Oryctolagus cuniculus: one gene and its partner. The protein of the gene in region 1 binds, or shares a complex with, the protein of each later gene. Links are inferred from orthologs where the notes say so. Each region holds a gene or a part of one and is shown on either strand. Other genes may lie near its edges.

The links.
Region 2: the proteins of SYK (region 1) and TYROBP are in contact, whole or in part, in a crystal structure (PDB 7Q5W), measured with the Homo sapiens proteins. The link is inferred for Oryctolagus cuniculus from reciprocal best matches to the Homo sapiens genes SYK and TYROBP. Residues at the interface, in NP_001167638.1 of Homo sapiens: Arg22, Arg42, Asn46, His62, His63, Tyr64, Thr65, Ile76, Ala77, Gly78, Gly79, His92, Asp97, Gly98, Leu99, Arg175, Arg195, Arg197, Lys212, Leu214, His215, Tyr216, Arg217, Ile228, Pro229, Glu230, Gly231, Lys232, His243, Lys247; in NP_003323.1 of Homo sapiens: Pro90, Tyr91, Gln92, Glu93, Leu94, Gln95, Arg98, Ser99, Asp100, Val101, Tyr102, Ser103, Asp104, Leu105, Asn106.

What each region holds. Positions count from the first base shown.
Region 1 is NC_091432.1:139,341,555-139,346,179, reverse strand, and holds part of SYK (tyrosine-protein kinase SYK), read right to left. Parts: intron 3,748-4,625; coding exon 3,538-3,747; intron 1,465-3,537; coding exon 1,275-1,464; intron 1-1,274. UniProt on the Homo sapiens protein: Non-receptor tyrosine kinase which mediates signal transduction downstream of a variety of transmembrane receptors including classical immunoreceptors like the B-cell receptor (BCR).
Region 2 is NC_091449.1:19,524,645-19,530,037, forward strand, and holds TYROBP (TYRO protein tyrosine kinase-binding protein), read right to left. Parts: upstream 3,553-5,393; 5' UTR 2,746-3,552; coding exon 2,538-2,745; intron 2,196-2,537; coding exon 2,169-2,195; intron 2,004-2,168; coding exon 1,869-2,003; intron 1,675-1,868; coding exon 1,631-1,674; intron 283-1,630; coding exon 217-282; 3' UTR 89-216; downstream 1-88. UniProt on the Homo sapiens protein: Adapter protein which non-covalently associates with activating receptors found on the surface of a variety of immune cells to mediate signaling and cell activation following ligand binding by the receptors.

The sequences.
Region 1 (4,625 bases):
CTTTAAGCACTCCTTTTAAGATTTACACGCACACCTGTAAGATTCGGGCAGGATTGCTGGCACTGCTTGCAGCTTTTGGTCTTTGGCTCTCTCCTCTTTGGCCACATACAACTTTGCAGAGTACACGGGTGGCGGAGAGAGTCAAGCCCAAGAATCTACTTCATGGATGTTGCCCAAGAAACACCTGGGTGTTCCCAGCGATATTTAACTGCTGTGAATTTGTCTGTATTGTCAAGCCAATGCCAACTATTTGAATAAGACTTACATCATTTTAGAATGCCTTAAATTTTCTAATTTCCTAATTTAATACAGCCAGCGGGGGCTGGCGCTGTGGCACAGTGGGTTAATCCTCCGCCTGTGGTGCCAGCATCCCATATGGTGCTGGTTCTAGTCCTGGCTGCTCCACTTCCGATCCAGCTCTCTGCTATGGCCTGGGAAAGCAGTAGAAGATGGCCCAAGTCCTTGGGCCCCTGCACTCACGTGGGAGATCCAGAAGAAGCTCTTGGCTCTTGGCTTTGGCTCTGCTCAGCTCTGACCATTTCGGCCATTTGGGGAGTGAACCAGCAGATGGAAGACCTCTCTCTCTGTCTGTCTCTCTCTCTCTGACTCTCTCTCTCTCTCTCTCTCTCTCTGGCTCTGACTCTCAGAGAAATATATAATAATAAATTTTTTTAAAGCCAGTGGTAATAAAGAGATCAAAACCGTGCACGACAGAATGCCTCACTTAGGATTTGGGATTTGGGGAGGGGACACTGTTGAGTGCTGTCACCTCTTGCAAGGAAAAGCAGAGTTACAGAGAGAGAGAGAGACGAAGGGAGATATAGAAGGAGAGATCTTCCATTCACTGGCTCACAATCCAAGTGGCACCGACAGCCTAGACTGGGCTGGGCTGAACCCAGGAGCCAGGAGCGTCTCCCTGGTCTCCCACGTGAGTGCAGGGTCCAAGCACTTAGACCAGCCTCCACTGCTTTCCCAGGTGCATCAGCAGGGAACTAGAATGAAAGGGGAGCAGCCAGGACTTGACCTGGTGCCCAGATAGGATGCCAGCATCCCGGGCATCAGTTTAACCCACTGTGCCACAACACCGCCCACCCCCCCAGCATGCCTGTATTTTTTAAACAACAGAATCAAAGCTTAATAAAAATATTTTCTATACTTTTTGTAACCTGCTGAAATTACTTCTTGAAAGCTTTCCATGAGAAGATAAAGAAACACACATTTGTCTTTGAGTTTCCACAAGTTGCCGCTCTGAGCATCGGCGGCCTTGTCCCTACCTTGTAGTAGTTCTCGTCTGCACGCAGAGCTTTGGAAAGTCCAAAGTCGCTGATCTTGGCGTAATGTTGAGTGACCAGCAGTACATTCCTTGCAGCCAGATCTCTGTGCACAAAATTGCACTCTTCCAAGTATTTCATCCCCATGGAAACCTGATGAACCAGCTCTATGATGTTCTTGTCCTTGACATGCCTGCGAGTCACAGGGGTACCATTAGCCACAGCGGAAGCGCCCACTTCAGAACAAGCAAACGGACAATGAATCCCCCCACCCCCGGGCTGTTCTTCAGTAACAACACTGGCGAGTAGCAACAGGTAATTTGTCAGTGTACAGCAGTGCAAGACTGGACACTGGCCTGCTGTTTAAAGGTTTGGTTGCCATGGCTTGCTTTGGATGACAAGCAGTGGAGCGGTCAGACCTGGCTCACAGATGGCCCAGTGTCAGTTGAAACCGTTGCTCCAATACCGGGCAGGTAACCAAACCAACCCGTCTCTGTTGTGTACCCATCTGGGAGAAGTAACAGCTCTCCGTGTCACAGAGACCGAGGGGACACTCCGGGTACAGCAGGTCTCTGGTGCAGAGAGCAGGCTGGGTTCTGGTGGCTGACTGTGCCCTACTCCAAGTGTTGGCGACAGGATCAGTCACTGTACCTTATACTCCCAGAGGGGCTCACTCTCGGGCACTTGGCGGTCCGCCAAGCCACACAGCTGGCTAACACTAATCCAAACATCCCAGATCTGAAACGTTTCAAACACTGAGATTTTTGAGCACATTCTAAGTGGAAAACTTGATAGTGGGAAACTGCTTCGGCCACAGAATTATTAAAAGTATTGTGGCAATGAATTTGGGCCATGTGTATGAAGTGTGTATGAAACACAAATGAAGTTCATGTTTAGACTGTGTCTCATTCTCAAGATATTTCATTATGTATATGCAAATATTCCTAAATCCAGAAAAAAAAATCCAAATTCATAAACATACCTGGTACCAAGTATTCTGGCTAGCAGATACTTAACCTGTATGAAACATAACCATTACCCCTGAGAAAATGTTTCTTGAAAAAAAATGTATTTTAGTGCCAGCATTGTGGTGTGGCAAGTTAAGCCACCACTTGCTAGCAGCTTTGGCCTGTGGATGTGAGCATTTGGGGAGTGAGCCAATAGATGGAAGATTTCTCTCTGTCTCTCTCCGCCTTTCAAATAAATAGACAAATCTTTGGGGGAAAAAAGTGTGTTCTGCCTAGGGAGGAGAGACTTTTTTTTCCTTGAGGCTGATTCTTTCATGGAATCAGTACACAGACCTTCAAAAAAGTTGATGGAAAAAACTGAATTAAAAGATAAATTTATTTTGATACAACAAAATTTGAAATTCACAAATAGTTTTCTCATAATGCATATTTCCCAGAAACTTTTAAAAAATATTTACTTATTTGAAAGGCAAAGTGACAGAGACAAACAGGCATACACACACACACACACACAGACATACAAAGAGAGAGAGAGTGCTTCCATCCACTGGTTCACTCCCCAAACGGTTGCAAGGGCCTGGGCTGGGCCATGCCAAAGCCAGAAGCCTGGAGCTCCAACTGAGTTTCCTTCTAGGGTGGCAGGGGCCCCAGCACCTGGACCATCGTCTACTGCTTTCCCAGGCCATTAGCAGGGAGCTGGGTTAGAAATGAGCAGCTGGGACTGGAATCAGCGCTTTGATATGCGATGCTGGCATTGCAAGCAGTGCCTCAAGCCACTGCACCACAATGCTGGCCCCATACATGTTTTCAAATATTATTTTCGTTTTTAAAATTTAGTCATTTGAAGAGAGAGAGAGACAGAGAGAGAGGGAGCAAGCGAGTGCCCCATTGGCTTGCCCATTCCCCCAAATATCCATAGTGGCCAGGGCTGCGCCCAGCTAAAGGTCTCCCATGTCGGTGGCAGGATCTCAGCCACTTTAGATACCACCACCTGCTGCCTTACGGGTGTACATTAGCCGCAAGCCGCGGTCAGGAGACCCCGACACTCTGCTGTGGGACGTCTTAGCCCGTAAAGGAAGAGAATGAGGATTCCGCTGCTGCATTGGAGCTTTCCCCGAGCGCCAAGAGTGAAAGAGCTGTGTCCAGAGACTCCTCTCGCGCCTCCCCTTCCCTGAGCGAGGACCAGCCTGGGCAGGCGTCCCGTGGAAGTGCCGTTGGCACACAGGTGGGAAGGTGGGTCCCCCCGTCCCCGGCCATCACAGCACAGCCTCTGTGCCTTCCGGGGAACCCAGTGATACCTGTTCTGTTGCAAGTACTTATTGAGAGGCCCGAGCTCCGCCATCTCCATCACCAGCATCCACGACTCGGCTTCGCAGATCCCGATCATGCGCACGATGTAGGGGTTGTCCAGCTGCTGCATGACGTTGGCTTCCGACAGCAGCTCGTCTTTCAGGGCCGGGTCGTTGGCCTCGTTCTTCAGTATTTTCACAGCCACCGTCTTCACCACCCTGCAAGAGAAATCGCAACATACAAAGCTTGCCAGGGGCCGGCGCTGTGGCGCAGTGGGTTAACGCCCTGGCCTGAGGCACCGGCATCCCATGTGGGCGCCGGTTTGAGTCCCGGCTGCTCCACTTCCGATCCAGCTCTCTGCTGTGGCCTGGGAAAGCAGTGGAGGATGGCCCAAGTCCTTGGGCCCCTGCACCCATAAGGGAGACCCGGAAGAAGCTCCCGGCTCCTGACTTCTGATTGGCGCAGCTCCGGCCCTTGCAGCCAACTGGGGAGTGAACCAGTGGATGGAAGACCTCTCTCTCTCTCTCTCTTTTTACCTTTCCTCTCTCTGTGTAACTCTGACTTTCAAATGAACAAGTAAATCTTTAAAAAAAAAAACACTTGGAAGACTGGCTCACTTCTACCTACCGGTTGAGACCTTCTTCCCTGAAAGCCTTGGGACCACAAGTGTTTTCCCATTTCAGGATATTTGTACACACATAATGAGCTATCATGGTATTGGGACCTGAGTCTACACACAAATTCATGTATGTTGCACAGATACTGTTTACATACAGCCTACACTGAATTTTACATGTACAAGCGTACTTCCAAAAAGTGTGTAGGAAGTGATATTACAAGTGGACTATGGTGCAAAAAAAAAAAAAAAAAAAAAAAAAAAAAAAACTGAAATCCATGCATACAAAGGGTCTTCACAAAGATCATGGGAAATGTGCAATATGAAAAAGCTGCGCAATGATTTCAAAATTTTTGTGCCAGAATAAACTTATCTTTTAATTCCATTTTCCAGTGGATTTTCTAAAGTGTCTTTTCATTTTTAGTGCTCCTGCATTTCGACCGCGCCCTGTCACACGAGGCCAGGAGTGGCATTTTTCAC
Region 2 (5,393 bases), on another chromosome or scaffold:
GCTTGTGTCGGGGTGCGAGGCCCACGCAGGTCAGGTCCCCGCGTGACCCCCTCCCCCCACCCCGGCCCCCACCATCACACCACAGCAGTTTTGTGCTCCATGTTTATTTGGCAGCAACAGAGGGGAGAGGTGTCAGGGAGGGCACGCTGGGGTGCTGGGTGGCCGTCAGGAAGCACTGGATCCAGGCGTCCCATTGTGGACTGTCGCGGTTTGGGCTCATTTGTAATACTGCCTCTGTGTGTTGAGGTCGCTGTACACATCTGACCTCTGACCCTGGAGCTCCTAAAGGGGTGGGGCCATCAGTGGACACACTGGGAGCCATCAGTGGACCGGGCCCACTTAATGAACCCGAAACAAAATCGGGCCCTCTTCTCCCAGTGGCCCACAGCTTCAGCATCATAGCCATGACAGAGATCTGGTCTGCATTCAAGTCCATTCAGGATGCCCCTCCCCCTCTCCCCAGGCCCCGGGGCCTTTGCACATGCTATTCCCTCAGTCTTCCCCGGCTTCAAGTCTCAGCTCACGTCACATCCTCAGAGAAGTGTTTCTCAATTTCCTGTCTCTAGTTCCCTCCCCTGCACTCCAGTCACTGTCTCACCAGCTCCTTTCCTTCCTTCGTGAATTTCCTTGTCTCTAGTTCCCTCCCCTGCACTCCAGTCTGTCTCACCAGCTCGCTTTCCTTCCTTCGTGACTTGTCCCAACATACTTCTGTCTGTTCATTTGACTCTGGCCGGTGTCCCCAGCTGCGGGGTGCGCTGTGCTGCCGAGTCCCACATCTGGCACACTGAACAGCCTGAGTTCACTCCCAGCCCACCGAGGCCCGCCGGCTCTTACCGAGCCAAACTTGAGATTCTTAGGAGGAAGCTGTATTCACAAGTGAGGCAGAGCTGCCAGGCAGGCCACGTGAGACCACACACCTGCCTCCACAGAGCGGGGTCACAAGTGGGGTTTTTTGGGGCGGAGTCTATGGGGCAAGGGGCGGCCTCACACAGAACCCCTGAAACCTGAAATCCCATAGGAAGACCAGTCTGTGTGTGCACGTTGCTCGGAGGCGCGGCCCCTGCCTCTGTCCGCACCACAGTTTCTAAGAAGGGGTTCAAGGACATGGACACGGCCCCTAGATCATATGCACCTGTGATTCTTGGCGTGGACTTTTCTGAAGTCTCTGGTTTCCATCAGCTTCTTAAAGGGACATAGCACGCCCCCCCCCCCCCCCCCGCCACACACACACACACATACACACACACAGTCCCCGGATCGGAGGGCTCCCCTCTCCGGAGTTCCCAAACAAAGGCTGCATGACAACCTCCTGAGAGTGGCTCTCAGACATCAGGGTGTCCTGGGGCCAGGGATTTTCCAGGACGATTTCGAGCCTGCCCGCTCCAAAGGCCTGAGCTTGCCTGACCAAGGCAAAGCCTTCGCTGGATGTCCTCTCCGCGAGGGTTCAGCTGAGCACAAGGCCAGGGTGGATCAGGTAATGCGGTTTTGGACAGATGCCCCCATTGGCCTTCTAGGCACGGGGAGCTTTGGAGAAAGTGGCTTCAAGGGTCCCCCGGAGGGCGTGTGGGGTACACAGGGCAGACACCTGCTAGGCAGGAGTGAGATTCGGGGAAGAGGCCTGGCTCCTTACCTGATAAGGTGACTCGGTCTCAGTGATGCGCGGCTTCCGGGTCACTGCGGGGGCGCAGGGTGCAAAAGACGGGCAGGACAGTGAATTGGGACCATTCTGTTGTCCTCACCTTGCAGCCTCCATCACCACCCCTCTGACGCCAGTGAACAGGCCCTTAGCCTGCCCCACCAAGAACACCACCACCACCACCAGGCCAGTGCTCAGAGCGCCCCAGGCCACCCCTGCCTGTCCCACTCACCGTCCACAGCCCCTCGGCCGCGAGGGACCAGCCGGCCGAGCGAGTACACAGCCAGGGCGATGAGCAGGGTCAACACCAGGTCCCCCAGCACGATCCCCGCCAGCGCCCCCGCACTCAGGGAGGAGCAGGTGCACTCTGAGAATCGGCACACGGCGGGGGTAGGGGTGGGGAGGAGGTCAGTGTGGGGTTGGGAACTGGGGGGTGGGCGTCAGCAGAGGGAGGCCCTGGAAGATTGGGGAGGGGGCAGAGAGGGGGAAGTCTTTGGGAGGTAGGAAGAGGGATTGTAAGGGCTAGACCTACCGCTCTGGGCCTGGACAGGGCTGAGACCTGAGGAGGGAAGAAGAAGGTAAACTGAGGCAGCGAGCTGTGACTGGAGTGCAGGTCTGGAGGCTGGGAGTGGGGGTGGGGAGCAGCGCCTGGCTGGCGTCAGGGCCATGGAAGGGTTTTACCTCTACAGGGCCTTGTCTTGCTGCAACAACTCGGATGTCTCCTCCCCTGCTTTCTACAGGAAACCGAATCTTGGGGACTGCGGCTCAGCAAAGACCCTCAGGCTTTGGGGGGGCTGAGAACCTGCTCCAGTCCAACCCCCCCTTTGGTTCACTCGCTCCACCCTGCTTCCTGCCCCTTCCCCCAATCCTCAGGAGACAGCTGCAGAAGCCCCCAACTCACCCCCCACGGTCAGAAGGAGAGGCAGGAACAGGAGCCTGCTGGAGCTTTCCAGGCCCCCCATGACACCAGCATACGACTGGACACCACCGTCCGAGGGCCAGCGGGATGAGGCGTAGCGTCCAACCAAGCGAAGGAGGAAGTCTGAGGCCGGCGGTGGCAGAGGAGGAGGGGACAGTGGCGAAGGAGGAGGGACAGAGAGAGAGAACATCAGAAAGAATCGGGCCCAGACAGCCCGGTGCCGGACACGACAAGCTCAGGTGCCCGTGTCAATCCTCAACCCGCATCCCCAGCTCGGTGTCGGTGCCATGGCAACAGGAGGGTCAGTGGCTAGGGCTGGAGCCAGCTCTGCCTCCCCACGGCTGGACGAGCTCGGGCCACTGAGCTCCACCTTTCTGGGTTGTTAGGAAAGATGGCACCTGTGACCGCTGGCTTCCCATATGAGCACTGGTTCACAGCTCCCTGCTAACGCGCATGGGGAAGGAGCAGAGGATGGCCCTGCCATCCACGTGGGAGACCCGGAAGAAGCTCCTGGCTTCCACCTCGCCCAGCCCTGACTGTTGTGGCCATTTGGGGAGTGAGCCAGGGCATGGAAGATCTTTCTCTCTCTCTCTCTCCCTCTCTTCCTACCCCCACCAACTCTGCCTTTCAAATAAATAAAATTTTTTAAGGAGCCATTTGCATGTGGCCCTAATGCAGGCACTCCATCCCAAGTGTTAAATCACTTATCATGCCCATTTGTGCTTGCCAAGGCGGAAATGGAACCCAGGACCCAAAGACAGAGTTTTGATTCTTAAGGAGAAAGAAAAATAAAGGATGAGTGACAACAACAAGAAGACAACAGCAAGGAGGAGAAAGATGGTGTAGAAACACACAGCCCCGAGACAGAAGCAGGGGCTCTAGGCTCGGCAGGTGGGGGGCTTCCCTGCAGGGTGAGGAAGTGGCAGAAAGTGAGGCCAGAGGGAGAGAGGAGGCAGGGTCTTTGAGCCCCCCAGCAGGAACCCAAACTGGGGTGGAGGAAGGAGGAACCTGAGGTTAGAGTGCTGGGGATGAGCTAGTAAGACCCCTCCCCCACCCACACGTCATGGCAGCCTCTCCCCGGGGCTGCGCTCAGGAAAGGGGAAATTGGACTGTCATGAGACAGACGCTGGGTGGCTGGTGCGGGAGGGGAGGGGACTGGAAGTCTGGCGCTGCCACAACTCTGGGTTCACAGGGTCCCTCTGGCTGTGGGCAGGGGGAGCAGGGGCGGGAGGAGGGCCCTAGGCTCCTGCACTGGTCCGGTTTAGGGTGAGTGTGTGGGGAAGTGTAAGAAAACAGTGAGTGGCGTGTGCTCAAGAAATGATCTTCATCATCCTTGTCATCGCTGCTGTCCTACGAGCACCCAGCCCTGAGCTCACCTGGATAAAACCCCTCCCTCCACCCCGCAGCACCAGCCACTGGGTCCCCTGCTGCCATCTCCCACCAGACCAGAGCTGTCCCCAGAAGATACTCGACCTAGCAGCCAGGACATCGGGCACACCGTCCAATCAGGACAGATGTGGCCAGGGTGGGGGAGGGTGGGGGTACTGGAGCCCCGTTTAGTAGCTGGGATATGGGGAAGGGAAAGCAATGCGAGGGAACGGGCTGGGTGGTGGCGGACCAGAGGTGTTGCAATCCTTTTGCAATCAGTACCGCTGTGCAGACCACAGAGGCGTGCAGGCCGGATTGGTGTCTGGGCCGGGCGGTGAAGGAGAGGATGGCGTGGAGGGCATTGCTCCAGGGGGCTGGGCTGGGGGCCTCCGCCCAGGATCTGCAGTGTCTCAGTCTGCTGACGCAGGGCCATGGCTTGGGGAAGGCCTTTCCCAGACGCGGGGTTGGCTCTCTGCTGCCCTCCCTGCTCCCCTGGCTGCCATTTCTGTCGCTGCACAGCCCAAATGCCCCACAGTTGCCAGGCAAAGATCAGCACGGTGCGCCGGCCGGCCGCAGTGCGCTGGCTGTGGCGGCCATTAGAGGATGAACCAACGGCAAAAGGAAGACCTCTCTCTCTCTCTCTCTCTCTCTCTCTCTCTCTCTCACTGTCCACTCTGCCTGTCAAAAAAATTTAAAAAAAAAATCAGACAGGGGCAGGCATTTGGCAGAGTGGTCAAGATGGTGCTTGGGAAGCCCCCGATCTCCCTGGAGGACCTCGGTGTGGTGACTCCAGTTGCTATGGAGATAGAGAGGGAGCTCCAGGCTCCTGGCTTTGGCCTGGCCCAGTCCCAGCCATTGCAGGCGTTTGAGGAGTGAGCCAACAGATGGAAGATCTCCTTTTGGCTCCTGCATTTCAAATCAAAGGAAAATTAAGAATTAAAAGAATTAGGCCGGTGCCGCGGCTCACTAGGCTAATCCTCCACCTAGCGGCGCCGGCACCCTGGGTTCTAGTCCTGGTCGGGGCACCGGATTCTGTCCCGGTTGCTCCTCTTCCAGTCCAGCTCTTTGCTGTGGCCTGGGAGTGCAGTGGAGGATGGCCCAAGTGCTTGGGCCCTGCACCTGCATGGGAGACCAGGAGGAAGCAGGAAGTGGCTCCCGGCTTCGGACTGGCGCAGCGCCAACGTAGTGGCCATTTGGGGAGTGAACCAACGGAAGGAAAACCTTTCTTTCTGTCTCTCTGTCTCTCCCTGTCTAACTCCGCCTGTCTTTTCTTTCTGTCTGTCTCTCCCTGTCTAACTCCGCCTGTCAAAAAATAAAAAAAGAATTAAAAAAAACCCCTAACTTTTTAAACAGCCCCCCAATTTTTGAGCAGACACGTCATAGAGGATGAGACACAGGTGGCCAGAACACATATGAGAAAGTACTCCATATCACTGGTCGCTAGAGAGATACAAGGGGAAGCCGAGGTGT